4 linked regions of the Pelodiscus sinensis genome follow. The protein of the gene in region 3 purifies or fractionates together with the protein of the main gene of each other region. This does not show direct contact. Links are inferred from orthologs where the notes say so. Each region holds a gene or a part of one and is shown on either strand. Other genes may lie near its edges. The genes, in order: HECTD1, STRN4, ZRANB1 and GCC2.

The links.
Region 1: the proteins of ZRANB1 (region 3) and HECTD1 purify together in Homo sapiens (affinity purification with mass spectrometry; 5 studies listed by BioGRID and IntAct, with this or other methods). This does not show direct contact. The link is inferred for Pelodiscus sinensis from reciprocal best matches to the Homo sapiens genes ZRANB1 and HECTD1.
Region 2: the proteins of ZRANB1 (region 3) and STRN4 purify together in Homo sapiens (affinity purification with mass spectrometry; 4 studies listed by BioGRID and IntAct, with this or other methods). This does not show direct contact. The link is inferred for Pelodiscus sinensis from reciprocal best matches to the Homo sapiens genes ZRANB1 and STRN4.
Region 4: the proteins of ZRANB1 (region 3) and GCC2 purify together in Homo sapiens (affinity purification with mass spectrometry; 3 studies listed by BioGRID and IntAct, with this or other methods). This does not show direct contact. The link is inferred for Pelodiscus sinensis from reciprocal best matches to the Homo sapiens genes ZRANB1 and GCC2.

What each region holds. Positions count from the first base shown.
Region 1 is NC_134714.1:51,019,470-51,027,411, reverse strand, and holds the start of HECTD1 (E3 ubiquitin-protein ligase HECTD1), read right to left. Parts: upstream 3,004-7,942; 5' UTR 2,816-3,003; intron 1-2,815. UniProt on the Homo sapiens protein: E3 ubiquitin-protein ligase which accepts ubiquitin from an E2 ubiquitin-conjugating enzyme in the form of a thioester and then directly transfers the ubiquitin to targeted substrates.
Region 2 is NW_027465849.1:5,733,556-5,740,533, reverse strand, and holds the start of STRN4 (striatin-4), read right to left. Parts: upstream 3,004-6,978; coding exon 2,764-3,003; intron 2,722-2,763; exon of another isoform or gene 2,671-2,721; intron 1-2,670. UniProt on the Homo sapiens protein: Calmodulin-binding scaffolding protein which is the center of the striatin-interacting phosphatase and kinase (STRIPAK) complexes.
Region 3 is NC_134718.1:53,943,570-53,951,313, forward strand, and holds the start of ZRANB1 (ubiquitin thioesterase ZRANB1), read right to left. Parts: upstream 3,001-7,744; 5' UTR 2,731-3,000; intron 1-2,730. UniProt on the Homo sapiens protein: Ubiquitin thioesterase, which specifically hydrolyzes 'Lys-29'-linked and 'Lys-33'-linked diubiquitin. Also cleaves 'Lys-63'-linked chains, but with 40-fold less efficiency compared to 'Lys-29'-linked ones.
Region 4 is NC_134711.1:235,141,287-235,149,298, forward strand, and holds the start of GCC2 (GRIP and coiled-coil domain-containing protein 2), read left to right. Parts: upstream 1-5,005; 5' UTR 5,006-5,809; coding exon 5,810-5,971; intron 5,972-8,012. UniProt on the Homo sapiens protein: Golgin which probably tethers transport vesicles to the trans-Golgi network (TGN) and regulates vesicular transport between the endosomes and the Golgi.

The sequences.
Region 1 (7,942 bases), on a different chromosome or scaffold from region 3:
CAAAGTGTTGTGCAATCATGAACTAATATTCTTCACAACACTACTCTGAAGAACTACTCTTTATATAGCATACAGTAGCATTTAAGGTAGAAAGACACAGTGCTGCCCCAAAACTTTCCACTCTAAGGCTGAAAATTATCATAGGAAAATAATATTCCTGTATAAATTCTTCAGTGCACACTAAATAGTTATTCAATTATTTCTTTTAATTCTAAACATAAAGCAAAATACTACACATTTAGAGTTAAAGACTAAAAATCTCTATATTCATGCACAATTAGCCTTCACAATAGTTTTCTTCTTTGTGGGATCACATGAAGGTCTGGTAAGGAAATCAGTCACATGAGGCTCAATAATATAAATATTGTAAGAAAAGATTATAGCAGGTTTGAGTATCACTGTTGTCTATATTATAGACATTTCCTGTAATCAGAAGAATGGGGTGTATACAGAGGGCATAAAGCCAATGGGAGTCATGCTGTGTCACACAGAACTTGTCACATGCTGATGTCTCTGTGTCACTCATTAAGAAACACCATCTCTAGAATTATTCTTATTCCCAGACAGTCTTGCTTGAAAGTAAAATGAAAAACTGGATTTTATCTCTGTTTTTGAACAACAAATCCCTCTGGCCCAGAGTTAGGAACCTAAGTCCCTTTGATGGATCAGGCTTAGACTCCGCCACTCTCCTCTTCATTTCCTATTGGCTAGGTTAATCCCCTCCCCAATCCATTTGCTGACTTGTGTGAGTCCCGCTCTTAGGTGCCTAACTCTCTCCATGCTTTGTATCAGGAGTTTGGCTGCCCAAATCAACATGAGGCTTCCATTGCACAGCAGGGCACGAAGCTTGCCATTGCAAATGTGAGCCTCAATCCATTTTGTGGCTCTAACCCTGCATTCCTAAAATACTAAAACCAAATCCATGTACTCCTGATTATGTTCATTAACTCATCTGATATCTCATAATTTGATTTGCTTGTATTTATTTTAATGTATTAAAGTATAGTGCCAAGAGACTTAGTACTACTTCAGACACCAACCAAACTTTTCATTCTCAAGTCTTTAATACGTCAGAGAATATTCAGTTTTTATGTTTTGTATTTCTAAACATGTGACTCTTATTCCTTAGAATACAATAAAAAAAAACTAAGGAGTGGTTCTTACACAAACTTAATCCAGTTGAGACTCCCATAGTTAGAGCCCTGCAAATCTGCAGATATCTGCTCTATATTCTCAACTCATTTTTGTGGATATGGATGCAGATAGATAACATTTTGTGGCTAGAACCCTGAAAATTTGCGATATTCACTTTATATCCGCAGATATGTACATTTTAGGACATCAGTGGGGATATCCATAGCTCATTTTTGTGGATGTGGATGCAAATCTTGTATCCACTCAGGGCTCTACGCATAGCTTATCTCTCTTTTAAAGTATCATGATAAGTCTGTCACACTTTTATTTGTGTGCCTTGGTCAGCAACTGACAATTAAAATATTTTCATTAGTCTTCAGAGTAAACACCCAATTGAAATGAAATGCGACAGCTGACAGCAGTCTCAGCTATTGTTTCAAGCTGTCTCCAGATATCACAAAAAGTTAAATGTGCTCCATCTTCAAAACTGATTGCTTTTTAATATAGAAAATGAGATAAAATTGGCTAGAGTGCAAAACTAGTTCAAGGTGATTGTAAAAACATTTTATTTGCTTCAATCATTTTTGCATACTTATTTATTTAAGTGAAGTTTCCTGGGCGTAAAACTCTGTTCATATGAATATTTACTCAGTAAATTTCAAGCCCTTTATTTAATCATTAAACTAATTTAAGGCAGAATTATAAAGATTTGTTTATCCAGACACAGATCAGAAATAATACGTCACTGGGTAACAAGTCACATAGCTTGAATATCAAAAGGCTTGTAGGAACAATCATAGTGAACAGTTTGTAAATGTTTGAATCCACAGGCTGAAATTTGCTTGCAAAAAATAGTCAAACAGTTATGAAATATGAGCAAGTTTATAAATGTTCCTTTATGTTCATGACCAGAAAATAAAGTGTATATTATCTGAATAAAGGTTCAATACAAATTGTTTACCCAGCTCTAGTTGGAAAATGGACTGGGAACTATACCTAAATTCTAATCCCAGTGCTGATGCATACTTCCTTTTGACCTTGTCAAGTGACTAAACCCTTGTGTACCTCAGTTTCCTCACCTATGAAATAATAATGGAGTAGTAATAACCACCTCAGAAGGCTGTTACCAGGCTAAATGTTTGTGAAACATTATTTGTTACTCAGACAGTGTTCCATAAGTACAAAATATTCTATCTGAAAATAAACGTCTAGCAAGAAGTGGGGTCAAACAATGGGAGGTCATAGAAACACATATTTTCCTTGTACAACTGAAAAAACAATTTAACAAATTTATTTTTGCCTTTTATTATCAAGGCCATTTTCTGTACAAAGTTTCAGATTAGTAACATTTTAGACTGAAGACAAAATTCCTTGATCATAGGAAGTTACCTTGCCAAAATTGAAAGTAAAGAGAGAGAGAGCCACAAGGATAATTTATCTACTTTTTGTTAACATCACCCTGACACACAGCATTAAGACAAATTTAGTCATTAGCTCTTTTAGCAAAAACAACTCCCCTATTTAAATTTTAAATTGACCTAGAAACATATAAAATGTGTTTTCTTTAACTTCCTTGCCCGGCTCTGTACACGTGGGAAATAGACGTTTCTAAATATATCAAACTATTTTGCACTAAATAGATCAGAGCAATAACAGGGGCCTGACAAGGTCAGATACTTACTGGTTTTGCCAGCTAATTAAGTTTTGCTGTACAAATACTCGTTATTTAGTCTTCTTTGCCTTTGAAGTGTTTTCTAAAGCCATATTTTCATCCAGAAAATAAATGTTTTCTTTTTTCCATAAATAAAACCCTGTCTGGTGAAGCTCTGTATTTAGAATGCCATGTGAACGTCTTGGCTTTCCTGAAGTAAGTGTTAATGTTTGCAATGTTTCTGGCAACTACAGAGCAACTATACGTCAGATCTAAAACACAGTGTGTTTACCATGATCTGTCTTGTGCAATTTTGTTGTAACAATAACTGTGTGAAAGGTTGCTTGTGACGTTGCTCAAACACTCTGATTACTCATGTTGACATGATGTGTGTCTGAGTGATATAGTATAGCTGGTGTAATGAAAGTGCTTGTCTGTTTTTATTTTTTTAAAGTGAAACCCCTCTTTCAGTGGGTTTCATGTCAGAAAAATTTGGGAAGGATGGAGATAGAAGAAGGGAGTTTTGTCAGCATGTAGAATATTATATATAATTTTATTATTCCTACAAATTAAGGACAGCTGGAGGGTAGGAGGCGGGAGTTGAAAAAAATAACAGAGTATATAGACCTATGAAAAACAGGTTGAGAACTCAACTGCCCCCACAACCCACAGCCGATGTTCCTCAGAAAACGATTTCTACTGAGTAGAAGACTCCTATTCCCCAAATTCTGTGATAGAGGTATTAGAGCAAAAAGTGTTTACAGCCTCTGTAAAACAAAGTATATCATAGAATTTTTGTAAAGATAGTTAACACACATGCACGCACACACACACGTGGATGTTTACACACACACACACACACACACACACAAAATAATATATTTTTTTCAAGACTAAATACATTTCTGCACTTTGGAACATGGCTAAAAATGAGTTTATAATCTCAATTTGCTTGGCCAGGCACCCACAATAAATTAAACACTCATTCATAGGACTTTATGGTCAACAACAAAAAAGAGGTGGGGGTAGAAATGGAGAATAGAAAAGAGGAGTTTTGAACAGAGTGTTATTTGTTATAAAAGATTAAAAAAAACCCTTTTTTATTCTGTTTACTGGGCTGACAGTGTTAGTTCTCACTGAGTAAAGTTCCTCACAATAGCTATAGTGTAGTTCAGCCCAAACCATAAATTGCACATCATGTTTTCATTGTTTTTTGGAAGCCTCCTACAGTCTTATGTTTTACACAGCAGTATCATGCTTCATGACTAAGTCCTGTCTGTATTACAAGACAAAGTTGTGTTCTAATTATGTCAGGAGACTGTCTCAGCAGCATTCTCAGAACCTTTGTTTTCTTTGTTTAAAAGCCTTCTACAGTTTTTTGTTTTTGTTAAAAACATGTAACTCAAACATCTGTCTCTAACTCCACCTACACTTCTCATTTTGATATGTTGGTATGGCATCATCTTATAACCATGATCAGTAGTCATCTTTTTATTATACTGTAACAAATATTTATTTTTATACTATTATCTTTAAAGTCCACTATCTTAAAAGAAGAATGTTAAGAACTTGATCCTGCTAAGAGCCCTGCACCTGTACAGAACCCCATTGAAACCTCTGGAGCTCTGCATACATTTAGAAGTCATCCTGTACAAATCAGTGGGTAGGAAAAGGGTCAAAGGGATAAAATCAAGCATTCAAAAGTTGGGAAATGCAAGAATAACCTTAATTCTTGCAGTCTCACTCCTGCTCACTTACTGATACAGGCTTTATGTACCTGATCATCTGTCTGATGGACCTAACCCCCAGGTAATAGGTTACATCTGAATTCCCTCCAGTACAAGGATTGCTAGTAATCTAAATCCAAGGAAGATTATAGAAGGAGATTTACATCCCAGACTTTAGAATTTCTACCCAATTTTTTAATTATATAAATTGAGTAGAGACCACTCTGAACCATAAAGTCATTCAAGAAATGAGTTATTTTTTATTTATATTTTGCTCCTTTCACTCATGACTGGAATCCAATGAAGAACAGTGGCTCCCAGTCTCATGACTAAATCCAAGCAATGAATAAATCTTGGTGGCATGTGAAAGGGTTAGACTGTTAAAGAAGAAAGACAACACCTCCATCAGTTAATAGTTGTTTCATATTATAGGATTAAGCCTCCCCCCAGTCTATTCAAGCTTTTATTGGAGATGCAGCTTCTGTTGCCCCAAAAACTGCTAGTTCCAAATGCTTTTTCAGTGATGCAACTATGCCCTCTTCACCAGTTTTGAAGATCACGCTACAGAAAAAAGAATAATCGATTTCAGGCCCTTGAAGCTTGAATGACTGATGCAGTCACTAAACACTAGAAGCTAAATGCTACTCTCATTCGTTTTTGAGAGAAATCAGTGGAAAGGTACAATTGTAACAGAGCAGAACTATGTTGTGGCACTTAAGGGGGGGAAAGAAATAAAAAACTAGTTTGAAACTAGGTGCCGTTCAAAGGACAGGAAAATTTGGATACCATACTCATGACTGCTGGGAAAACCTGAGAAACTGATGTAGTTCAAGAACAGTTCATTCATATACAAAACATATCTGTGAACTGGTGCCAAACTCCTTCTCTCTCTCCGTTTATATTTATGCACTTTTCATTACTTGAGTAGAATTTGTTGAAAAATAGAAAAATATTTAAAAAATATCAAAATATATATGATGGTCTGAACAGTTAGAGTAACATATAGTATGTGACAAACCCACTGCATGCACTAATCCCCATATATTAATGAGAATTTATAGCAGACTTACCCAGAATTGCCTGGGTCCTTCAGGGCAGGGACCTGGTCATGTGGGGGATGCAGGACTCAGAGCAGGGCCTAGTGCATCAGGAGGGAGCACAGGAGGTTGGTGATGAGGGAAGTGCAAGAGTGAGGGCTTGGAGGTAAGGCGGGTCTCAAAGCCTGAGGACCCATCTGGGACAGACCTTTGCTCTCCCCCTGGCCACCAGGGATGTTTTTTTCTTCCAGCTGCCACAGTCACCAGAGCCTTCTGTCTTCCACCTCTGCCAGCCACCCGGGGCCTTCTATCTCCTCCCAACCCCTCTGACCAGCATGGACTTTGGCCAAGAGCCAGGAGGAGGAAATGGTTTGGGATGAGGGGGGCTACTTACCCAATCTGGTGGCAGGCAAGATGGCAGAGCTCCTGTCTGATGGCTACTTTCTTGGTGGTACAGCTGTGCAAGTGTCCACTGTGCAGTATAGTTCTCCCCCATGCTTACTGCCCCTGATGGCCACTTTCAGTATTCTCTTCTCTGTGCCCCTCCCTTTCCATGTCATGGAAAAGAGTCCTATTCCTGACACTTTCTGGATACAACCAAATCCTAACTTTTCTTTAAATTAGGATAGGTGGAAGCTGCATACCAAATTTGGTGATCCTAGTTCCTACAGTTTAGGAGCAGTTCTTGAACGAACAGACACATAAATGGACAGACACACACGGATGCACATTTCTAAAATATATAGATAACTGACCATGTAGAAGGGCATGTCTACACTACCACCCTAGTTCGAACTAGAATGGTAATGTAGGCAACCGGAGTTGCAAATGAAGCCCGGGATTTGAATTTCCCGGGCTTCATTTGCATATTGCTGGGCGCCGCCATTTTTAAATGTCCACTAGTGTGGACTACGTGCCACGCGGCTACACGCAGCACGGACTAGGTAGTTCAGACTAGGCTTCCTAGTTTCACGAGTAACGGTGGTTCAGAATAGGAAGCCTAGTCCGAACTACCTAGTCCGTGCCGTGTGTAGCTGCGCGGCACGGAGTCCGCCCTAGCGGACATTTAAAAATGGCGGCGCCCAGCAAGATGCAAATGAAGCCCGGGAAATTCAAATCCCGGGATTCATTTGCAACTCCGGTTGCCTACATTACCACCCTAGTTCGAACTAGGATGGTAGTGTAGACATACCCGAAGAGTTTTTAGAAAATTTTGATTTTCAAGGGTCAGTTTTGAAGAACCAAATCCAAATGAGTGGCACCAAATATGAATGGTGCTACTGTGCATGTAATACCCGATATTATGCTTTTTCTGGAAATAACTGGTGAGTGCCTACAAAAATAGAGATTCATGGATACAGTGGGTGTGTTGCATGTTGCATAACTAGCCTCTTGCAAACATGACAATTTGAATTTCAGGTCTTCTAAGAAAAGGACTAGTGCTAATCAACTTGAATATAATAGGAGAGCTGGCAGTATTTTAAAGATGACTTATTGAAGGCACAGGAAGAAACCATCCCAATGCGCAGTAAGCAAATAAGGTAGGGGACCAGATTGGCTTACCAAGGAAATCCTTGATGAGCTTAAACACAAAAAGGGAGCTTATAAGAAGTGGAAACTTGGACAGATGACTAGGGAGGAGTATAAATATACTGCATGGAAGTAATCAGGAAGGTGAAAGCACAATTGGAATTGCAGCTAGCAATGGATGTGAAGGGTACACAAAGGTTTTTACAGGCATTTTAGCAATAAGAGGGTGATCAGAGAAGGTGTGGGGTCCCTTATTGGAGGAAGGAGGTAACCTAGTGACAGATGATGTGGGAAAAGCAGAAGTACTCAATGCTTTTTTTGCCTCTGTCTTCACAGACAAGGTCAGCTCCCAGATTACTGCACTAGGCAACAAAGTATGGGAAGGAGATGGCAGCCCTCGGTGGAGAAAGAACAGGTTAAGAACTATTTAGAAAAGTTAGACATACACAAATCCCTAGGTCCAGATTTAATGCATCCAAAGGTGCTGAGGGAGTTGGCAAATATCATTGCAGAGCCTTTGGCCATTATCTTTGAAAACTCATGGAGATCAGGAGAAGTCGCAGATGACTGCAAAAAGGCAAATGTAGTGCCCATCTTTATAAAAGGGAAGAAGGACTATCCAGGGAACTACAGACCAGTCAGTCTCACCTCAGTCCTTGGAAAAATTAGGGATCCTTAAGGAATCCATTATGAAGCACTTGGAAGAGGGGAATGTAATCAGGAATAGTCAACATGGATTCACCAAGGGAAAGTCATGACTGACCAATCTGATTAGCTTCTATGATGAGGTGACTGGCTCTGTGGACGTGGGGAAGTCAGTGGATGTGATATATTTTGACTTTATCAAAGCTTTTGATACTGTC
Region 2 (6,978 bases), on a different chromosome or scaffold from region 3:
ACAGCTCTCCTCAGCCTCGCCCTCCAGACTCAAGTCACAGTGCTGCTCTTCTAGTAGCTTAATCTCATTTAACTCCCCAGCCCTCTTCGGTTTTACAATCCCTCGCCTGGTACCTAGAACTCAGTCCCATCCATTGCCTTTCAGGCCACTGCTTGCATCAAACCCTGCTGTGTGGTCTGGTTCAATTCCCCTTGCTACATAGACCAGCTATTATAAACCAGCCCATATACAAGCAGGTACCCTAAAAAGCAGAAGTTTATGCCTTACATCCATAGCAGCCATTTGGATCCTGAAATCTGAGACCTTCTGGAGATGTTTTACAGCCTGCAACATGCTTCCAGCCTGGCAGATGATAAACTACTACTCTTCACCTCTTCCACCCGTTCGCCATGTGAAAACAGGGCATCAAAGTGAAGTTGGCAAGATCGGGTCAATTTTATTCACCTCTCTCCTGTGCCCTGCAAACCCATCAGTGTTTAAGAAGATAGTAACTCTCTCACCCAGGTGCTGATGGGTTGCACCATTCAAAGGTCCCTGGCTCACTGCCCCTCTCGAGGGGGGCTTGAGAAAGTGCCATTTGGGACAGGGCATTCCCTTGACATCTTCAGCACCTACTTCCATCCCAACCAATTCATCCTTCCATCCCTGTGGAGCTGAATTCACCCATATTACTAACCTCAGATCCATTGGCTGTGGCTGCTCACGGAAGTTAATAAAATGCTTCACAGCCCTAATCCCTGGGCAATCCTAGCATGGTTGTTTGGGGAGATTTCTGGTTCCTCACATCCAAATGCCATCTCCAGAGCTACTGGGGAAGAACAGCCCTGCTAGTCTTCATACCCTAGCAGGGAGATCACCATCCCCTGCTCCTTAAAACATATGCAGCTGGGAGAGTGATATTCCCTTGGCACCAAACACCAATAACTGGGAAGCTGCTCCTCTTGACCAGACCCAGTGAGGCTACCCAGGGAAGCGACCTCCCTGCAGCTCTCTACTAGGATATGATGGCAGTGTCCCACCTCAACCCCATATCCCCACCACCAGCTATTACCGGTCTGAGTATTTGCTGTCCGCTCTCCCTTCTTCCTTAGTTGCCATGGGGTTGACAGATGCATATCCTTACCCCAGTTCTTCCCCTGTCCGTACTGGGAGGCAATGACTACATTTCTCCCCTTGTCACCTCCATTCCCTCTTCAATCCCTCTTGGGAAGCATCAATTATTTCCTGGCCTGGCCCCAATAATCACCCCAACTCCACTGCTAGTTGCTATGGGGTTGAAAACTGTATTTCTTACCATCACCCCAATTCCTTCACTGGTCACTAAGGAGAGAATGACAGTCGTGTTTCTCCCCCAGTTCACCCCAATTCCTATTAAAGGGTAACAGATACAAAAGCCCAACACATTAATTCCTTCCCTCAGTGTTATGGGGAGGCAACTGTCACATACCCCTCTCCTCCCCCCAGTCCGCTTCATTCCTTCTTGGACAGGAATGCTCAACACCCTAATTACAACTGAGGGGTGCCAACTTTGGGGGGGGAAGGATCCCAATACCTCCCCCATTCCGTATCCCCCTCTAATCACTCACCTCCAACTTGTCCCTTCAGCTCCCAGTCTCTACCCAGGTCTACGCCCCCTCTCCCTGTCAGGGGGTCAGCCCAATTCTGTGACGGGGTCCTGAAATTTCCCAATCCCCCCAGGGGGGGGATCCCAGTACTGGGTGAGCCTCTGACACTCCCTTTTTCCTCTTATGGGAAGTCCATCAGTCCTGGGGATCCTGATACTCCCTCTCCATGGAGGTTCCCACCCATGTTCCTGGGGGGGAGGTGACCCTCCCCCCATAGGGCTTCCCCAGTCCTGGGGGCCCTATCACTCCAATTTCGGCCTCCACCGGGAGTCCCCCAGACCTGGAATGCCTTGACACTCCTCCTATGCCCCCAGGGAGTCCCCCAGTCCTGGGGGGGTCCCCTGACACTCCCCCTTTCCCCCCATGGGGCTCCCCCAGTCCTGGGGGGCCCTGACACTCCCCCTTTCCCCCCATGGGGCTGCCCCAGGCCTGGGGGGGGCCTGACACTCCCCCCCATGGGGCTCCCCTAATGCTGGGGGGGCCCTGACACTCCTCTTCCCCCCCCACGGGGCTCCCCCAATGCTGGGGGGGCCCTGACACTCCTCTTCCCCCCCCCACGGGGCTCCCCCAATCCTGGGGGGGCCCTGACACTCCTCTTCCCCCCCCACGGGGCTCCCCCAATCCTGGGGGGGGCCTGACACTCCTCTTCCCCCCCACGGGGCTCCCCCAATCCTGGGGGGGGCCTGACACTCCCCCTCCCCCCCACGGGGCTCCCCCAATCCTGGGGGGGGCCTGACACTCCCCCTCTCCCCCACGGGGCTCCCCCAATCCTGGGGGGGCCTGACACTCCCCCTCCCCCCCACGGGGCTCCCCCAATCCTGGGGGGGCCTGACACTCCCCCTCCCCCCCACGGGGCTCCCCCAATCCTGGGGGGGCCTGACACTCCCCCTTCCCCCCCACGGGGCTCCCCCAATCCTGGGGGGCCCTGACACTCCCCCTCCCCCCACGGGGCTCCCCAGTCCTGGGGGGGGCCCTGACACTCCCCCTCCCCCCCACGGGGCTCCCCCAATCCTGGGGGGGGTTCTCCCCCCCCGCGGGGTCCCGTCGGCCATTTCCCTCCAAGATGGCGGCAGCGGCGGAGGCAGCGGCGGCCCCGGTAACCCCCCGCGGCTCCCCGCGCCCGGCCCGGCCCCGGCACCTGCAGCTCGGCCCGCTCGGCCTCCCAGCGGCTCTTCTCGGCCTCGAAGCGGGCCCACTCGTGCTGGATGTAGTGCAGGATGCCGGGCAGGCTCAGCTCGCCGGGCCCGGAGCCCGCGGCCGGCCGGCCCGGGGCCTGCGGCGGGGGGGGCGGCGGCTCGGCCCCCGCCGGGCCCGGGGCCTGCTGGGCCCGCACCAGCACCCGCTCAGCCTCCATCATGGATCCCGGCGGCTGCCACATAGGGAGCCGCGCGGGGGGGCACTTCCTGCCAGATAGTGATCCGCCAGGAAATGGGGCCCGCGCCGCGGGACGGGGGCAGGGAGGGGTTCCCATGGCAACGCGCCCCCCCTCCTCTCCGCGGCAGGCTCGCTCCCCCCTCCGAGCGGAGGGTTTCCCCTGGCAACGGGCCTCTCCAGGTAGGCTGCTTCCCCCAGCAGGGGGTTCCCATGGCAACGCCCCTTCCAGGTAGGCTGCTACCCCCCTCTGAGTGTGGGGTTCCCATGGCAACGCCCCTTCCAGGTAGGCTGCTTCCCCCCTCTGAGTGTGGGGTTCCCATGGCAACGCCCCTTCCAGGTAGGCTGCTTCCCCCCTCTGTGTGGGGTTCCCATGGCAACACCCCTTCCAGGTAGGCTGCTTCCCCCCTCTGAGTGTGGGGTTCCCATGGCAACACCCCTTCCAGGTAGGCTGCTTCCCCCCCTCTGAGTGTGGGGTTCCCATGGCAACGCCCCTTCCAGGTAGGCTGCTACCCCCCTCCGAGTGTGGGGTTCCCATGGCAACGGTCCTGCTCCGGTAGGCCTGCGACCCACCCCCACAGCAGGGAGTTCCCATGGCAACGTCCCCTCCCATTCCCCCCCCCCAGGAATATCCACCCCCCCAGCAGGAGGTTCCCATGACAGCACCTCCCCCAGAGCAGGCTTGCTTCCCCCTTGGCAACCACATCCTCCAGGTAGGTCTGCTTGTCCCCCCCCCCCCCCCGGAAGTGGGGGGTGGTTTCCATGGCAACAGGTCCCTTCACCTGCCCCACAGCCAGAGCAAGGAGAAGGGTTCCAGGGGCCCCCCAGAATAGGCCTGCAAGGAGAGGGGTTCCTATGGTAACAGCGCCCCCCTCCAACCTCCCACCTTGCAGGCTGGGTTCATCCCACCCGGAGCAGGGAGAGGGCAGCTCCCATGACAGTTCCCCCTCATAGCCTGGTTCAAATGCCCCCCCCCCCAACAGCCAGGGACGGGTTCCCATGGTAACACCTCCCATGCCTCACACCCCACTCAAATTAAAGTGGGTACCCCAGTCAAGTTCCCTCTAGAATAGGGTCTCTTCTCTGCCCTATCCCAAAAGCAGACAGTGAGCAGTTCCCATTTCAGCAGGGGGTCTTGATCAGGGCCCACTCCAGGGAGGCTTCTCCTACCCACCCACAGCAAACAAGTAGAGGTTCCCATAGCACAAGGCTCCTCACCACTGCAAGTACAGTCACCTCCACCCAGGACTGCATAGGCCACCCCAATGACAGGCCGCCTCCTTCCCAGATCATGCTCCTTCCCAAAATACTGTTCTCTCTGCCCCCCAGGGTAGATCCCTTCTCAGCACAGAGTTGAGACTTCAGTCTGGTTTGGAGGAAGGCAAATAAAATCTGCCTCCTCTCCCTAGCCATAATGCTGGAGTATTTCATCCATTGCCGTAGCTCCATACTGGCCCCTATTCAGAGCAGTTACTGTCCTTTCAACTATTCAGTGGTCACCATTTTCTTTCCCCATCTACATCTTTATCTGGAGCAACTGCTAGCCTTACCCCAAATCCTCCATTGCTTGGTAGTCAGCTTTATCAGTGTGCTTCTCTCCTTCCTTCCCCCCTCACTTCTATCCCAGTCACTTCAGGATCCTTGTTGATTGTCACAGAGTTGTCATACCTGGTCAGAGCGCGACCAGGAACAGGTAACAGGAGAGTTTGGAGAGGGAGTTCTCCAGGGAAAAGAGGAGTAAAAATGGGACCCTTGTGGTAAGTGGCTGTCTGGAGTGTGTGTTGTGTGGGGGGGAGTTATTTGCAGTGTGCTGAGCTTGTGTTTGTCTGGTTTGTTTGCTTTGTTTGTTTGAAGGAGCTTCTAAAAGGTTTGAAATCTAGAAGCCTCTGTTAATTGGCTGAGCCTCAGTCAGGGGGAGGGGCTACCAGAGCTATATAAGCCTGTGACTCAGCGACCTGGGAGAGCACGGAGAGTGCGACCAGGAACAGGTAACAGGAGAGTTTGGAGAGGGAACTTAGAGGGAACTAGTGACTTGTGTCCTTCTTTAAAACCTAACTCTTAGAATAATCTATACTCCAGAAGTTTTAAAAGAATCCCAGTTTGTACTTAAACTTATTCATTACAAACATGGAGACAGAAGCCCAGCAGCAGAGTGGGGGCTATCCTGTTTATTGCATCGAGTGTAATATGTATGATTACCTGCCCTGTGGGCGGGTGGCGTATGTGTGCACCCGTTGCAAGGAGCTCCTGACCCTCAGACCGAGTTCGGGCTTTGGAGGACAGGGTGGCTGAACTGGAGGAGCTAAGGGAGGTAGAGAGCTTTGTTAATGAGACTTTCTGGGACACTGTAGTACTGTCCCACCTCCAGTCTGAGAGCCCCAGTGTTCTTAAGGAGGATGAAAGTCTCAAGGGAACAGAGCATTTAATGGGAGCAGAGGGAAACCATCCCATAGTTGGGACCCTCCTCCCAGAGGATGTTGCGGTATCCTCTCGCACTGAGGATGCCTCTGAGGGGGAGGGAATGCCAGTTAGGAAGAGGCAGGTGTTAGTAGTGGGTGATTCGATCGTTAGAAACATAGATAGTTGGGTTTGTGATGACCGGGAGAACCATATGGTCACTTGCCTGCCTGGTGCGAAGGTTGCGGATCTCTCGAGGCATCTAGATAGACTTATGTGTAGTGCTGGGGAGGAGCCTGTGGTCGTGGTACATATAGGTACCAATGACGTAGGGAAGGGTAGGAGAGATGTCATGGAGGCCAAATTTAGGCTGCTAGGAAAGAGACTGAAATCCAGGACCTCTATGGTGGCGTTCTCGGAAATGCTTCCGGTCCCACGCGCAGGGCCAGGTAGGCAGGCAGAGCTTCAGAGTCTCAATGCGTGGATGAGACGATGGTGTAGGGAAGAGGGGTTTGGATTTATTAGGAACTGGGGACACTTTTGGGAGAGGGGGAGCCTATACAGGAAGGATGGGCTCCACCTAAACAAGGGTGGAACCAGACTGCTGGCACTAAACATTAATAAGGCCGTAGAGCAGTTTTTAAACTAAGAGATGGGGGAAAGCCGATTGGTGCGGAGATGCATGTAAATCGGAGAGAGACTTCTCTTAGAGGAGAATCCGTTGATAGAGATTCTCTAAGCTGTAGTCGGAAAGAGAGGAGGGGAGAGGGCAAACCATGGGCCAGAGCTGACAAACAACCGCATAAAAGGAATCCAATGCATCAGGGAAGGGCAGACAAATAACCAGTGGCAAATTTTTAAAGTGCTTGTACACAAATGCTAGGAGTCAGACTAATAAGCTGAGTGAACTAGAGTACCACGTATTAAAGGAGGAGATAGACATAATAGGCATCACTGAAACCTGGTGGAATGAGGAAAATCTGTGGGACACAATCATACCGGGATATAAAATATATAGAAAGGATAGAGCAGGCCGGGTGGGTGGCGGAGTGGCACTATATGTGAAAGATAATGTAGAATCAAATGAAATAAAAATATTAAATGAATCAACATGTTCCATAGAATCGCTATGGATAGAAATTCCATGCTCCAATAATAAGAAATTAGCAGTAGGGATATATTACCGGCCACCTGACCAGGACAGCGATACTGACATAGAAATGCTGAGGGAGATTAGAGAGGCTACCAAAATAGAGAACTCTATAATAATGGGGGATTTTAATTACCCCCATATTGACTGGATACATGTCACCCCAGGAAGAGAAGCAGAGATGAAAATAATTTCTCAATGGCTTAAATGACTGCTTCTTGGAGCAGCTAGTGCAGGAACCCACAAGGGGAGAGGCAATTCTCGATTTAGTCCTGAGTGGAGTGCAGGATCAGGTCCAGGATATAACCGTTACAGGACCGCTTGGGAATAGTGACCATAATATAACAACATTCAACATTCCTGTGGTGGGAAGAACACCTCAGCAGTCCAGCACCCTGGCATTTAATTTCAAAAAGGGGAATTACACAAAAATGA
Region 3 (7,744 bases):
CTTCATTTGCCATTTTGTTGCCCAATCATTTAGTTTGGTGAGATGTTTCTGAAGCTCTTCACGGTCTGCTTTGGTCTTAACTATTTTGAGCAGTTTGGAATCATCTAGTATCATAAGAAAGGACTGGTGTATTTGCAAATCTGGTTGCTGAGGGGGACCATGATCTTTCATTTAGAGAAGTGGCTACCAGCTTGTCAACAAATGCTTTCTTCAGCAGGATTACACCATATAGATAAAGCTTCCAAAAGCCCATGAGCAGCACTAGATGCAGAAATGTTATTCCAGTCCAGTACTATGACAAAACAAATTTTTTTATGATTTTACATCACCATGCACAAGTTAAAACCATAAGTTCTTGGCCTCCCACTTCCAAAGCCAGATGACATTGGAGATGGCTTGTGTTGCTACACCATACAAATACTCCACTGGGTGATTGCTGAACACTACTAATGGGGGTTTCAATGTCCTCTTTCAGTTACCATGCTATTAGAAATTAAGTGCAGAATAAACCTGAATTACTGTTTTGAGGTTCTGAATACAGTTATACTAATAAAAAAAAGGTTAACATCTGCAGCAGACTGACAGATCTGTATGTAACTGATATCACACACAAAAAAGCTGAGAGGTGAGAGTTTAGTGTATGCTAGCACTAGAAAAAGTTATCATGCCCTTAAGTCATGGGTAGGCAATAAAAATGGCAACCCACCGCTGCTACATTTATTTGCATCTCTACAAATATCAGGTGAATGCAGCTCTTGTTCGCCACGAATGGTGATCCATGGCTAACAGGAGTTGCAATTGCCCAATACCTGCAGAGGTGCAAGTAAATACAGAGGTGGTAGCCTGGCAGGGATTAACCCTGTGGACTAGACCCAGCCCATGGGCCAGAATTTGCATACCCTTGCCCTAAATACATATCTGCAAGCTAGGTTAACTGCTTAAAAATTCACATGTAATGACTCAGTTATTGTTCCAGTACCTCTAAAAAAAACTACTTTTCAAAATGGCAACTCTCAAATTCTAGAAAAGTTATTTTCCTCATGGTTATCAAAAGATGCATTGCTAACAAAAGTCTTAGCAGCTGTTCTGTGCTCAGCATGCAGAGGTTCCAGATTCTACATCTGCAATCATAATACCACCATGTAGCCCTAATAGGGTAGCTGAGACTAATCAGGAAGAGGTGTGTTCAGACTCTGGATTGAAGGAAAGAGAGTGCCTTGCATCATTCAAAGTTAACCACTTACAGCTGTTCATAGAGTTGCATTAATGAACTCCAAAGAGGGTTGTATAGTTCATCTTTATCTGCAAGCTGGTTGCTACCATGTTGTAGGTAGAACTACAAACTAGAGAGGGAGATATAGATAGTCTGGGGTCCTCCTTATAGTGAATATTATATTATGTTACAGTCTGTAAATAAAGAATTATTTCAGTTGTTAAATTACATGGAATTCAGAACAGGATCTGATTGTTTTACTGTGGTTATCTTTGTACATCAAAATCACAAATGCTTTATACAACTTGGTACATAGTTGAACATAGTTCAACATTAACTATGGCTAACCTATTGTCTGCAATACATGTAAATACAACAAATAATTCACAAATTTCAGGTAGCTTCTGTAGTACAGAAGTAAAGACAGATCTAGAAAAAATGAGGGGGGGGAATAAATGGGAGTCAGGAGACCTATGATCTCACTCCTGTGGATCTCAGTACTGCAGCAGAGTAAAAGAGAACCACAGAAAACAAGGCAGTCTCCTGTTTTTTTGTGTGTCTAAGAGTCCTGTTACTTTAACAAGACCCTTAAAATGCGTGCTATAGCGCTTTTGGAGTAGAATAATAAACTGTGCATACAGAAGTGCAAAAAGAAACCTTTCAGGTAACAGTTACAGCAGAAGCAAATTCCTGCTTTCCAATGGAGAAGTGAACCTTAGTCATTCAAGTTAGGATACAAGTTAAAAGACTCACACTCAGACAACAGGACTTTGGTATTAATAGGTGGAATTCAAAAGCCTATATGGGCACACGATGTACCACGCGTCTCCGTTTAAGTCAGCGCGGGGGGGGGGGCAATCCTCCGACAACAAAAACACCCAACTTAGTTCACGCCGCAGGTATTTCTACACCAGTAAACAAGCCAACTGCAATAGCAGCGTCTCCCCGAAGCAGGCGCCTGAAGCCCCAGGCTGGGACGTGAGGGTGGCCGGGGAGGACACCCAAGCAACCTTCCGACCTCTTTCCACACCGGGACCCCGAGTCACGACAGCAAAAGTTTCAGGAGCCCCCTTCCCCCAACCCGTCAGGAAAAGGGAAGCGGGCGCGGCCACCAGCTCAACGCGCAGCCTACGAGCTGCCCTGCCGGCCCCGGGTGGGAGGCAGCGCTGGCTCCGGCGGCTGGAAGGGGCTGCCGCTGGGAAACTGACATGGGGTGGCTCTAAGCCAGCAAGGGCCCCGCTGGGGGAGGGGCCAATTAACACCCCCCCCCCCGCGCGCCGGATCGTTAAAGGGGCGCGAGGAAAGGGGGAGGAGCTGAGAAGGGGGCACCCAGCGACGGAAGCCTGTGGCGGTGGAGGGGGAGGCTCGACGGCTCCGAGGAGCAGGACCCTCCGCCCGGCCTAAGTGTCCGGCAGGGCAGGGAGAGCTCTGCCCCAGAAGGCAGCCCGGCGGCTCGCGGAGAGAGGGCCCCGCTGGGAGCCGCTGGTGGTTGGCCCACTGGGGAGAAGTCGCCTTACCTCGAGCGCCGCCTGCTCCTGCTCCCGGATCCGTCCCTCGGACACTAGTCGGCGTTAGCACCCCCCCGAGCCCCCCACCATCCCCCCGCCCCGCTGGCTGCGGCTCCCCGCTCAGGACATGGTCTCTCCCGGCCTAGCTGGCTCGCTCGGCCGCGGGCGCTCCCACTCGGCACAGCCGGGGGGGAGGGGGCAATCTGTAGCCCCAGACTCCCAAGTCCCGAACCCTCTAATGGCGGCGGCTAGAGCGGCCCAAAGCAAAATAAACCCCCATACGGCAGAGGGCTCTGACGTGAGCGAGCCCGCAGCCCTGTCGCACGCTCATTGGCGGGAAGCGCGCCGTCCGCCTGGCCAATTCGAGAGCGCCTCTTTGGGGCGAACCGGTGATGTCATCCCTGCCTCTGTGAGGATGCGGGCCTTCTCCCCTCCCCCATGCCCCCGCCGGAGGACTGCGCTCCCTCCGCCCACCCGCCCAGAGCAAGCGCCGCCTCTCTCAGGAGCCGGAGATTCCCCTCCCCCACTCACTCGCAGCGCCTCTCCATCGCCCGCTCCCGCCAGGGGACCACCCAGGAGATCCAGCCTCCAGCAGGGGAGCAGCCGCCCAGGAGACCCCCCACTCAGCCCCGCGCTTCTTTCGCCGCCCCCCCCCCCGGGGACAAGCGGCACCAGAGCCCCCGCCCCAGCCTTTCACGCCCCTGTACTGGAATGTAAACTGGTCTGTGCTGTCCAGCCACGGGGCGAGGCCACGCGTGACACCTCATGGAAGCATGCAGCCAGGCTGCCTGGCCCTCAGTGCCTCCAAGCAAACTCACCTCTCCTCTCCTTGCAGCCAGTGCATGAGTCCCTACTCTAATAGCAGCCTTGTAGCCGCCACCCTACACAAGTTAAACATGCCACCACCCTACCCCTGTGCTGCTGCAGTGCGCTAACCTCGCTGGAGGACACCCTGCCCCAGCCTGCTCTCTGGCCCCGAGACACAGCATAGGAAGCTTTCCATGCTGTTAGGAGAACAGAAGAGACTGCAGCCCTTTACTCCACAGACCTAAAAAGTACCAGCTCTTTCCTTCCAGACCAGAAATGAGCCTCATCTATCTCCAGGGGCCTGATCTTCCCAATGGTATGGCTACAGGTCTCTTGCTGGGACTCAAAGCCTTGACGGTTATCACAGAGGTCCAGAAAGGAGCTGTCATCTCCCCTTATCTCTCCAGCTCAGGGATCCAGAGGAAAGGAAGAGCTATATCACATATTTCCCAGGAGCCCAGGGAAACTTCAGGAGAGTGTCAGAATGCAGAGGATTAAATTAAGATATTTTGTTTGTGAGAAAGCTTTGATAATGGATAAATAAATCTCTTCTCGGTGGATTTATTCTAGTAACTTTCTCTTCATAAATGTAATATATTCCATCATGAGGCATATTTTTGCCAAGGTATTCAATGACATCTGCATGCTTCCATGAATACTGGACCTGTGTAATATATCCTAAACATCATTAGTGCAAGTTTAGTCACTGGAAACAATATTTAGGCTCTCAAAATCAATAGATATCCACTCAGATGTGTATATAAAATTAAAAGTGATAGCTATCAGGTGAATAACAAAAACCTTACTTCCTCAGGGGGATTCTCTGTGAAAAAGAGGAATAGTTTCCAAGAACCCTTACAATGGCAGACAGCATATTAACCTCTTACCATCCCCTCACAAGTGTCTGTTATTACTTGTCTAAGGTAAGGAATGGTCCCACTATTGTGGGCACTTTGCTGGTTTCTATGCTACCCTGTGAAATGGACTAGCAAAAGGAGCTGAGTCCTCACCTAGCTCCTACTCTTTGTGGCTTCCTCACAGCAACAGATTATTCACCTAGCTCACACTTTTTCAGTCCTAGCTCTCAGGCTTCCTCATACCTAATTTTTATTCTGTGGATTCCACACTCCCATTGGTCACCTCCGCCACACAGCCTCTACTTCCTCTCCAAGTCTGATCCACATGTTACAGGTTGGACCTCTCTGGTCTGGCACCCTGGGGACCTGACCAGTCCTGAATGAAGGAATTTGCAGCACCAGGGGAGGTTCCCTGCTACCGGCTCCCAGCCTGCCTCCTCTCCCTGTTGCCAGCCTAAGCCAGCCTCCCCCACCCACCCCGCCGTGCTGCCACAGCCCCCAGCAGCCCAAACTGCCATGTTCCCAGCCCCGCTACCAGGGCTGTTGAAGCCCTGGACCCACTACCAGGGCTGCCACATCCCTGGCTCTGACCCTTCTACCGGGACTGCCATGGCCTCAACTGTGCTACTGGGGCCACCAGCCAGGGCTTCCTGGTTCAGAATCATGCCAGACAAGGGAGTCCCAGTTTTTGGAGGTTCAACTTGTACTTCATTTTTCTGTATTAGGCAGTATGGAGCCATCTACCAGCTAGGTTATGGACTGGGTAACTATACTTTGCACAGCTACATAATTTCCTTCACATTCATTTGGAGTAAGGGAAAGATACCCAATAATGAACGCACCATAGCATAGCTCACTAACACTAGGAAAAATCCCATTGTCCAACAGATCAGAACGCCAATCAAGACCAGCCAAATGTAATTATTTTCAAAGACTGAAGTGACACTTTGTTTCTCTTTGCAAGGAAATTGGATTGCTATAAACACTGAGCAGCCTAGGAAAATGGATCATTTGCCCTTCCCAGCCTACTTCTTTGCTAAATTCTATCTCCACACAGCAAGTGGTGCCCTACTCTGCACTTTGGCAAGCATATCAAGGCTTAATTATATTTAGCTACATAAAAAAATGAGGACAACCATATTTTCTTGTCAGATCCAAGATGAACGTGGATAAGTCATCTAAAAGAAATATTTCCATCCATATTTCCATCCCATATTCTTTGTGATTAGAAGTAATTCATAAAACTTGCTCTTAGCATGTTAAATAAGCATTTAACAAGGAAGTTATCTAAAAGAAGAATAGTGAATGCTAAAGTAAATGCTTAGTACTCTCAAATACTTTAACTACAGGAAATCTACAGAAATAACGATTTTAGATTAGATAGAATGGAAAGATGTGGTTTATATAAAATCAAACAGAATTTGTAGTTTTGAATAAATTATCAATTTCAACTCTGTCAAGGTATTTCCTAAATCTTTCAGCAAGTCATCCATCTTTCCATAGAAACAGTTAGATTTCTGGTAAAATATAACTCAGGGAACCGCATCAGCAGAATTGCAAGATAATTCTGGAAAGAATTTCATGGACTCTAGAATCAAATCCCCAAAACTGTAACACAAGACAGACAATGAATTTTGTCACACAGGAAAGAGGAAAATGTATGGCAACCGAATTAACAAGTTATATCGTTTAAGTAACTTTAGAAACAGAAAATGATTGTTTTGTAAAATAACATGTTTATTTTGCAACATAGAAACATTTCATATAATAAAATACTCCTCTTAAGTGGTAAGAGCTAGAACCACCAAATTTGATATGCAGCTTCCTCTTATCATAACTTAAAACAATGTAAGGGTTTGGGTGTGCCAGGATAATGTGATGTGTCTGGAATTCAATGGTTTCTCATAAAATGGAAAGGAAGAAGTTTGGTAGGAGGGACAGTTATACTGTAGAATGACCACAGGGGTGCAGCCAGGAGCCAGAGAGGGGTACTGGGGCAGCTATAACTCCACTAGGCCAGTAAAGGGCAAGGGTGGAGAAAGGGACAGCTATCTACTATATATTTCAGAAAGTTTGTCTATCTGTGTCTGTTTATCTGTGTGTCTGTCTGTGCCCCAGCAAGGGGTCATGCACCCCTCTCCCAACTGCACCCACAGCAGCTGCAGCAACTGTGGAAAGGTACTTAACACCTGGTCCCAAGCTGCTATCGTGCAGATTGTCCTCTGTCCCTGGGGCAGCCTGCATATTGAACCCCCTTATACCCAGTCCCACCCCAGACCAATGATTTTAATGAAGAAAAACATTCATTGAGTTAAGGACCCAAGCAATGCTGGGTAAATGTGCTAGTAGTTGAATATTATCAAAATAGTCCTTTAAATATTGATCAGAAATACTGTTATCAAAAGTGAATCGTGCATGAATCTTAAAACCACATGACCTCTCTCCAGGATCCATGACTCTATAACAGCCTGTCAGATGGACTACCTAGGTCTCAGTTACCTGTTAAGAAGAATTTAGAAATGGTTAGTTTTTCATTCCTTGTCAGAATGAAATAAAATTTTTAAATCCTATGCAAAATGTAATTCCTTTTGCTGCACACCTTTGCTCAGTACCCGGACACTACAGATGTCCCATATTCCTTCAGTTCTTCTGATGCTTACTCTAATAAGCTTTCTTCCCAAATCCCTCTATTATTGTTCCTGCTCTGATTCAATGTGCTTATAAATGTATAAATCACATAGGAATCTATATTTAGGAAGGAATCTATATTTAGGAAGGAAACATTGAAACATTTTGCAATAGAGTATTGTACAATACTCAACCAAGGGATGATGTTCAAAGAAGGACTGCTGAGCAGCAGCAGGGTCCATCTATCAAGGAAGACGAAGAGTATCTTCAGATTTAGACTGGCTAAGTTAGTGAGCTTCACTTTAAACTAGGTTCCCCAGGGGAAGGAGACAAAAGCCCACCGGTAAATCCTAAACTTGGAGACTGGGTGAAGGGTCAGAATCTGGAGGGAACATGGGCAATCCTAGCAGGGAGAAAGGAGACACGAGAGAGCACAGAAGGAAAATCTCATGAGCATCTCAGATGCCAGTATATTAATTCAAAAAGCATGGGGAATAAACAGGGTGAACTAGAAATACTACTATCACAATTATGACATAATTAGCATCACAGAGACTTGGTGGGATAATTCATATGACTGGAATATGAATACAGAGCAAAAAGGGAGGATGTGCTGTCTTGTATATCAAACATGAATACACCTGCCATGAAGTGGGAGGTAGATCCATTGAATGTCTCATAATAAGGATAAAAAGAGTAAAAAACAAAGATGATGTAATAGTAGGAGTCTA
Region 4 (8,012 bases), on a different chromosome or scaffold from region 3:
TTGTTCTGAGTGGAAGAACATGAACGTTCTCCGGCGATTTTTGTTCTGACTTTTCGCTGTCAACAAAATGTAGTAGTTTAAAACACTAGCTTAACCTCCCCCCAGAAAAAGTTTTGCTGCAGCAAGTGAAAGCACAAATGGTGCTTTCTCCCAGAGCGCTCTCCTGCATCCTCTTTCAAGGGGAGGACGTACTCAAACAGCAATCACACTGCTGACTTAGCGACAAGGCCTTGCTGCTAAAAGCTGTGCTTAAGGTTGCCAGGTGTCAGGTTTTGAACCGGACAGTCCAGTAGTTGAGCTTTCTGTTCGGGAAACAAACTGAGAAAATATACATGAGAAGATGATCAACCCTCGCCGTGCTGCCCAGCCAAACCCTCCTGTGCCCAACCAGTCCTGTCTGCCGGCCGCCAGGGACGCTCCCGCTGGCTTCTCACAGAGCCTGACCCAGTTTGGCTCCTCCTAGGCGTGTGCACCGCAGCGTGCGGGAAGAAACGCAGGAGAGAGGCACAAGGCTCGGGCGGCGCTCGCAGCTGGTGGCCTGGGCGCGCGACTGCAGCGGGGCTACTCGGACTCAGGCTGCAGCGAGTAGCGGCCCCGCCGCGCCCAGACCTGGGAGGGGCGGGGCCACGGGCGAGGAGGCGGGGACGGTGTTGGGGGCGGGGCCTGGGTTCAGGCGCTAGAACCCAACCCTCTCCCACGTTCACTAGTTACCATAGAAACACTCGGGAGGCGGCGGGCCCGGATTGGTGACCTCTGACCGGACGCGGGTGCTGACGAAGGCGGAAGTGGGAAGCAGGATGGGGCGGCGCTGAAATCCCCCCCGGACCCTGCCGGCTGCAGTCCCGCCATGGAGGTACCGGGGGAGGCGCCGGCGGGCTGATGCGCTGGCGCGGGGCCGGCGGCCGCTGCCCTCCCTGAGCGAGACCCGGCGCGGGGGATTAACCCCGCCCCCTCCCACCCCGCTGCGGCCGGGGGGGGGGCGGTGGGTGACCTTGGGCGCGCGGCTCCCCCAAGTCTCCCCCCGTGTGGGCGTGGCCGCCTCCCCAGTCCCGGGGCAGAGGGCGGGTCACCCCCTTCCTCTGCGCGCGCTCGTGAGCCCCTCCCCCCCCCCCCGCTCCTTCCCTGGGGGGGGACCCCGCGCTGCTGCGAGCGGGGGCAGGGGCGCTGCAGCGCTCGAAGTGACGTCAGGGGGCCCCTTTCAACTGTCTCAGCAACGTGAGTCCAGAGTCATTTCGGGCTGGAGTCCCGCCAGTCCCGGCAGCTCTTGGGGATGGGGCCGCTATAGGTTGCCCCCGTGCGCATCTGTTCCGCCCTAGAGTCGTTCATGATTGTAGGCACTGAGGTGTTCTAACTTCTCCCATTCCCTGCTATTAAGTTGCCCCAAAACAACAACCACCCCAATTTCCACAAATGGAAGCTGGTTGCAGGGGGAAAAAAACCCGCTTTAAGTTGTGTAGCTCTAAGTCCAACTTTTTTGGAATGTATCTTGGACTTATAGGGTGTGTCTAGACTCCTGAGTTTTGTCGACAAAAGTGGACTTTTGTCGACAAAACTATACCAGCGTCTACACTACCGCTGAGTTCTGTTGACATAACGTCGACAGAACTCAGCAGTTTTGTCGATGCTGGTAAACCTCATTTTACGAGGCATAACACCTTCTGTCGACAGAAGGTTTTATTGCCTGTAGGGTTGCGTCTAGACTACAGGGTTCTGTCAACAAAGCAGCTTGCTTTGTCGACAGAACTCAATGTGTCTGGACGCTATTTGTCGACAGAAGTTTTGTCGACAGATACTGTCGACAAAACTTCTGTCGACAAAACGCGGTAGTCTAGACGTACCCATAGTGAGGATGACTTGTACCACCCAACTACTGGAAAACTACACAGCGGAGGCATTTCTGGAGGGGCAGGAGGAGAGGTGTCTGCACATCCTCTCACTTCACACTGTCTATGATTGTTTTAGGGTAACAGCAGGGTGGTGATTGCCATAATAAACTAGACCCCATGAACCTTTCCAGTTTGGTATCTTCCTTTTGGGAGCAGTGCCAACCGCATTCATGCTTCAGAGAAAAGTGGAAACACTGTTATGCACCTCCTGGGTTAGTTGGTTTCTCTGTGGGAGGTAAAAATCCATCCTGAACACAGCTGGGGGTGACTAGATCTGTAGATACTTAGATGCTTTATAAAGCCTAATAAGAGCATTCAAGCTCTAAGGGACCTTGATGATATTTTAGAAGTCTGCTCAATGACTAGATTTCCTCCATTCTGCAGATCAAGTAAAATAACCCAGGGGCTACATAAATGTAATGGCAAGTGTCAAGTAATTTTTATCTCTCATAAGTACTGGGGCAGATATATTTTGTGTCGTTTTTGCAGTTACAGAGAGAAACAAAAAGGCTTCCAAAGAAAGTTTCAAATCATTGTATTTGTAATGTCAAATACATTGATAAATCCAGTGTAATCTGTGGCCTTTCTTGAAATGTAATTGTAAAGTTGTGATCGCATCTCAGAACGTGGCATAGTTTTGGATGATTAGTTTAAAAGATTAGCGTATTTTCCACAAAAAAATAGTTTGGTACTTCTGTGTAATTTGTTTGCATTGTGTATGCCTTGTTAGAAGCTTATTTAATTGCAAATGAGCAAAATAGACTCATAAAGTGAAAGTAAACGCATCTAGTCTGATAGTGTAAACAGAATGGTGAATCAAACATACTGTTTGTACAGTGTGGAAATAGTATGTATAGCATGGTGGCAAAGTCTTTTGTGGCTACACAGTTTATACTGTGTCTCATCCTGTCTGCTGAGAGTTCTGTAAGGTCTCTCTGTGTAGAGTCCCAATCCCTTTTTTCATATGCTTCTGCTTGAACTTTGAGTTTAAACTGCCAGTGTTTCTTCAGGTCTAGAGCTCTCCAATAACATGAAAATCAGAAAGTAATCCTACAAAAAGTAGAAACTGAAAAACTGCTAAGGAAGAGGGAAAAACACTTGTATACAGAGAAAATGAGAGGCAGAGGCACAAAATGAGGCCTAGCAAGGGATGTAAAAGACAAACGGGGTTTTTAAAATACTTTCTTTCTCTTGGTCCTAATGTAAGTGTAGGCCCTCTTAATGGAGAAGGAAAGTGAATATCATGATATCAAACAGGCTGATCTGTTCAGTTCCTATTTTACTTTGGTCTTCAGTAAAAAGCTTAATGATGACCAGGTACAAATCACAATTAATATTAAAACAAGGGAGAAGCCTACATAGGAAAATAACATGTTAAAGAATATTTAGATCAGTAAGATGTATTTAGATGCCTTAGGTTGTAGGCAGGATTTCTGTTCTATATAAATTGTATGCCCACTTCACCAGGTTTTTTTACAGTGAAAAACATCAGATTAAATGCATTTATAGTAAACTTCCGATAATCCGGCACCTTTAGGACCCAGGGGGTGCCGGATTATCAAATATGCCGGACTATCAGAAGGGGGGGCTATGAGGGGTCTGGGGTGGGGTGGGGTGGGGAGGATGCTACCCCAGACCCGCTCATAGCCCTCCCTTCTGATAGTCCGGCTCTGCCCCAGGAGTCCCCGATTCAGCCACTGCTGGTCAGTTTCAGCAGCGGCTGAATCAGGGGCGCCTGCAGCAGAGCAGCTGGGGTGCTGCTGGGTTGGTCCAGTAGCGCCGACCCTTGGCGCAGCGAGACCAACCCGTCAGCACCCCAGCTGCTCTTGGGGACGCCTGGGGCAGAGCAGCTGTGGTGCTGAAGGGTTGGTCCCGCAGCGCCGCTCCTCGGTGCTGTGGGACCAACCCAGCAGCCTTGCAGCTGCTCTGCCCCAGGTGTCCCCAAGTCAGCCACTGCTGATAGTGATCAGCGGCTGACTCCAGAAAGCCAGAGGCAGAGCTGCTCTGCCCCAGGCTTTCTGGAGTCAGCCCTGGTCAGTTTCAGCAGTGGCTGAATCAGGACGCCTGGGGCAGAGCAGCTGGAAGGCTGCTGGGTTGGTCCCACAGCACCGAGGGGCAGCGCTATTGGACCTACCCGGCAGCACTCCACCTGTTCTTCCCCCTGCTTCCCGGATTCAGCGCTGGTCAGTTTTAGCAGCGGCTGAATCAGGGAAGCTGGGGGCAGAGCAGCTCCAATGATCCGGCTGCCCGGAGCACTTCCGGGTTCCTGATGGTGCCGGACCAACAGGAGTGCCGGACTGTCAGATGCCGGACCATCAGAGTTTTACTGTACTTTCATGTTTATTGTACAAGTCTCTCTGTTTTGATAATTTGTCATTAAATCGGCTTCTGTTTAAGGGAAATCTGAATTAGCTCTGAAATACTGCTAATTGGGAGCCATCACTGATGGACAATTTAGAAAGAAGCTGAAGTCTTATAACATGCACATAACTTGTATAGGATTAGAGAAGGCCAAATCTTGTTTGTATCTTTTAAATAGAGGACTGAGAGAATTGTAGACCAACCAGCCTAACCACTACCCAGAAAGAGACTGAAACAAATTATTAAACAATAATTTTTGTGAGAACCTAGAGGATAATAGGATTATAAGGAATAGGCACCATAGGTTTGTTAAGAGCAAATTATGCCAAACCAACCAACTTTCCTTCTCTGATACTTACTAGTCTAGTGGCTGGGGAGCAAGCAATAAATGTGATATCTTGATAATTTTTTTAGTAAGCTTTTGACACAATCCACATGACATTCTCATAAGCTAGATAAATGATAGAAATGTAGCCGTGTTAGTCTGGAGTAGCTGAAACAAAATACAGGACTATGTAGCACTTTAAAGACTAACAAGATGGTTTATTAGATGATGAGCTTTCGTGGGCCAGACCCACTTCCTCAGATCAAATAGTGGAAGAAAATAGTCACAACCATATATACCAAAGGATACAATTTAAAAAAATGAACACATATGAAAAGGACAAATCACATTTCAGAACAGAAGGGGGATGCGGGGGGGGGGGGGAAGGAAGGTGAATGCCAGTGAGTTAATGATATTAGAGGTGGGGAAGGGGAGATGTCTGTGAGTTAATAGTATTAGAGGTGATAATTGGGGAAGCTATCTTTGTAATGGCTAAGATAGTTGGAGTCTTTGTTAAGTCCCCTGCGGAGAGTGTCGAATTTTAGCATGAATGCCAGTTCAGAGGATTCCCTTTCAAGTGCAGATTTGAATGTCTTCTGAAGTAGGATGCAGGTTAGCAGGTCATTGAGACAGTGTCCTTTGTGGTTGAAATGACAAGCAACTGTTTTTTCTTTGTGATCCTGTCTAATGTCTGTTTTGCGGGCATTGATTCTTTGGCGAAGTGTCTGAGACGTTTCTCCAATGTACATAGCAGACGGACACTTTCGGCACATGATAGCATAGATTATAGATAAATGTAATTTACATTAAATTCCTATAAAGTGAAAGACTGTTTGTGCAGTTACTTGTTGGTGAATTCTACATCATTGCACATGTGCAGAATTCATGTCCCCTGCAGATTTCTTTGCTTCATTACAGAAAAATAACTTCCGATGGGGAAGTAAAGGGAAGCCATGAGGCTGGTCACAAGTCCCTCCCCAGCAGGGCTGGCAAGTCAGTTTGGGCACCCAGAACAGCTCATAAAGATGTAAAATCACTGATGAGCTGTGGGGGCTGGGTGGTCATGCATGTGTGTGAGAGAGAGAGAGACTCTGTGCTTGCAGCATGGTTGGCATAGCAGTGGTCCCCAACCTTTTGGGGCTGCCGGGCACCCAGGGATGGGGCCACACATGCGCCGGGCGCCCGGGGGTGGGGCCACGCATGCGCCGGGCGCCCGGGGGTGGGGACATGGCCGCGCATGCACCGAGCGCCTGGGACCCAAGGCGCAAGAATGGCTCGGGCCAGCCCTGGTCACTCGACGAGTGCACGTAAATGTCCAGGCAGGCACCATGGCGCCCACGGGCACCGCATTGGGGTCCACTGGCATAGAGGGTCAGCGCTTTGGGGTGTTTCCGAGGAGGTAAGTGTGAGGCATGCTTTGTCCCCTCAGGCAGAGCAGAATATAGCAGCCTGCCAGCTTAGTGAATTGTTCCTATTGTTTTTAATGAATTCCCCTAGGAGTATAAACCAGATATATAAATTATTAAAGCACAATATGGCCTAATAAATGCTTATAATAAGTTAGTGATTAAAACTAAAATTTTGCACTAAAAAAATTCCTATAAAAATGGCAATGAATTTTTTGCTATTGATCTTTCTAAAGATGGTCAAAAGTAAAGATAAATTGCGAATTTGAGTCCCTAGCCCTCACTTGCTCGTCGGTTGCCTATGATGTAACACTGAGTGTATGGATATTTATATTTGACTAGTAACTAGAAGTAAAGGATCAATACTATTTACATTGCTATTAGAGAGGGTTGGGGATTTCCTCCAATGCTCCCCAATCCCATTCTCCATACTATCGTTTCAATAAAATTAACAAAATAATTGAAACCAGTATCATTGTGTTGTTTTAAGAAATAAAATATGTAGCAAGCCCTGCATGGATACAAATGTCAACTCATGGAGACGGATATGTGTGGATAGACATCAGTGTCTGCTGATCTGCAGGGCTTTACTCCCAAGAATCATTGTGGCCTATGGAGAGGAGCATAGTAACATTGCTCCTGAGAGCCCCCAGTCTGTGCTGGCAGCTCCTCCTGGCAGGATTTTTGCAGAATTAAGAGTAGTTTCCAGTTTGACAGCAAACATTGAAAGGTCACATCTAGTGGGGTCAGTCCTGGATCTAGTACTGTTAAAATATTTTAATTAATGACTTAGGAAATGGAGTGGTGAGAATTCTTAAATTTATTAATAATATCAAAGTGGGAGAAATTGCAAGCACTTTGGAAGACAAGTTTAGAATTCAAATGACCTTAACAAATTGGAGAATTGGTGTGAAATGAACAAGAGAAAACTCAAAGAAGACAAATGCAAATGAATTCACTTAGGAAGGAAAGATCAAAGACACAGCTACAGAATGGGGAATAACTGGTTAGCTGGTACTGTTGAAAAGGATCTGTACAGTAGACCACAAACTGAACATGAGTAAACAATGTGATGCAGTTTGAAAAAAGGTTGTTGTTATTCTGGTGTACATTAACCAAAGGGATTCATGCAAGATATGGAAGGTAATTGTCCTGCTCTACACCCACTAGTGGAGGTCTCAGCTGAAGTACTGTATCCATTTCTGAGCAGCACACTTTAGAAAAGATATAGACAAATTAGGGAGAGTCCTGAAGAGAGCAACACATATTACTAAAAATTTAGAAAATCTGACTTGTGAAGAGAGGCTGAAACAATGGGAAGAGAACATATTTCAAGACATACTATTAGTCTTAAGAGCTGTTATAAAGAGAACAATGGCCAATTATTCTATGTCTGCTGACAATAGGACAAGAACTAATGGACTTTATCTGTAGCATGGGGGATTTAGGTTAGATAAAAAACAAGCTGAACAAATACCTTTTATGGGAGGTCTTGGTCTACTTCGTGCAGGGGCTGGACTTTAATTTTTGAGGTTCCTCCTAGCCCTGCATTTCTATTCCCAAGTATATGTAAACATTGTCACCTTTCAAATCCAGTCCAAGATGATCATCTTTGAGCGTAACTTGGAAGATCCTACCATAAAATCACTGTTCATTTAAATGATATCCCTCTTCTAGTATTTTCATTTGTCTACATTTTTAAGACTGGTCTTTTGTTAGTAAGTTATCAAGCTATACTTTCCAGACCAGTTGCAAATAAAAAAGATTTTGTCCACCCTCTAAACACAAGTTTTTTGGATTATTATTAATTTTTAAGACTATATTGGCTTACATCATGCAGTGAATGATCTATCCAGATCTTGATGTGATAGATGCCTGAGCTCATTTCTTCCATTTTTTTGTTGTATTTTTTATTAATTTTAATTTTCTAGAGTTCTACCTTCTACTGGAGGAGTTAGTTATTGTGAAGGTACCTCTGGCTCTTAACTGGTTCTTAACTGGTTAGGAATGAAAAGAAATGAGTTCTGACATGCT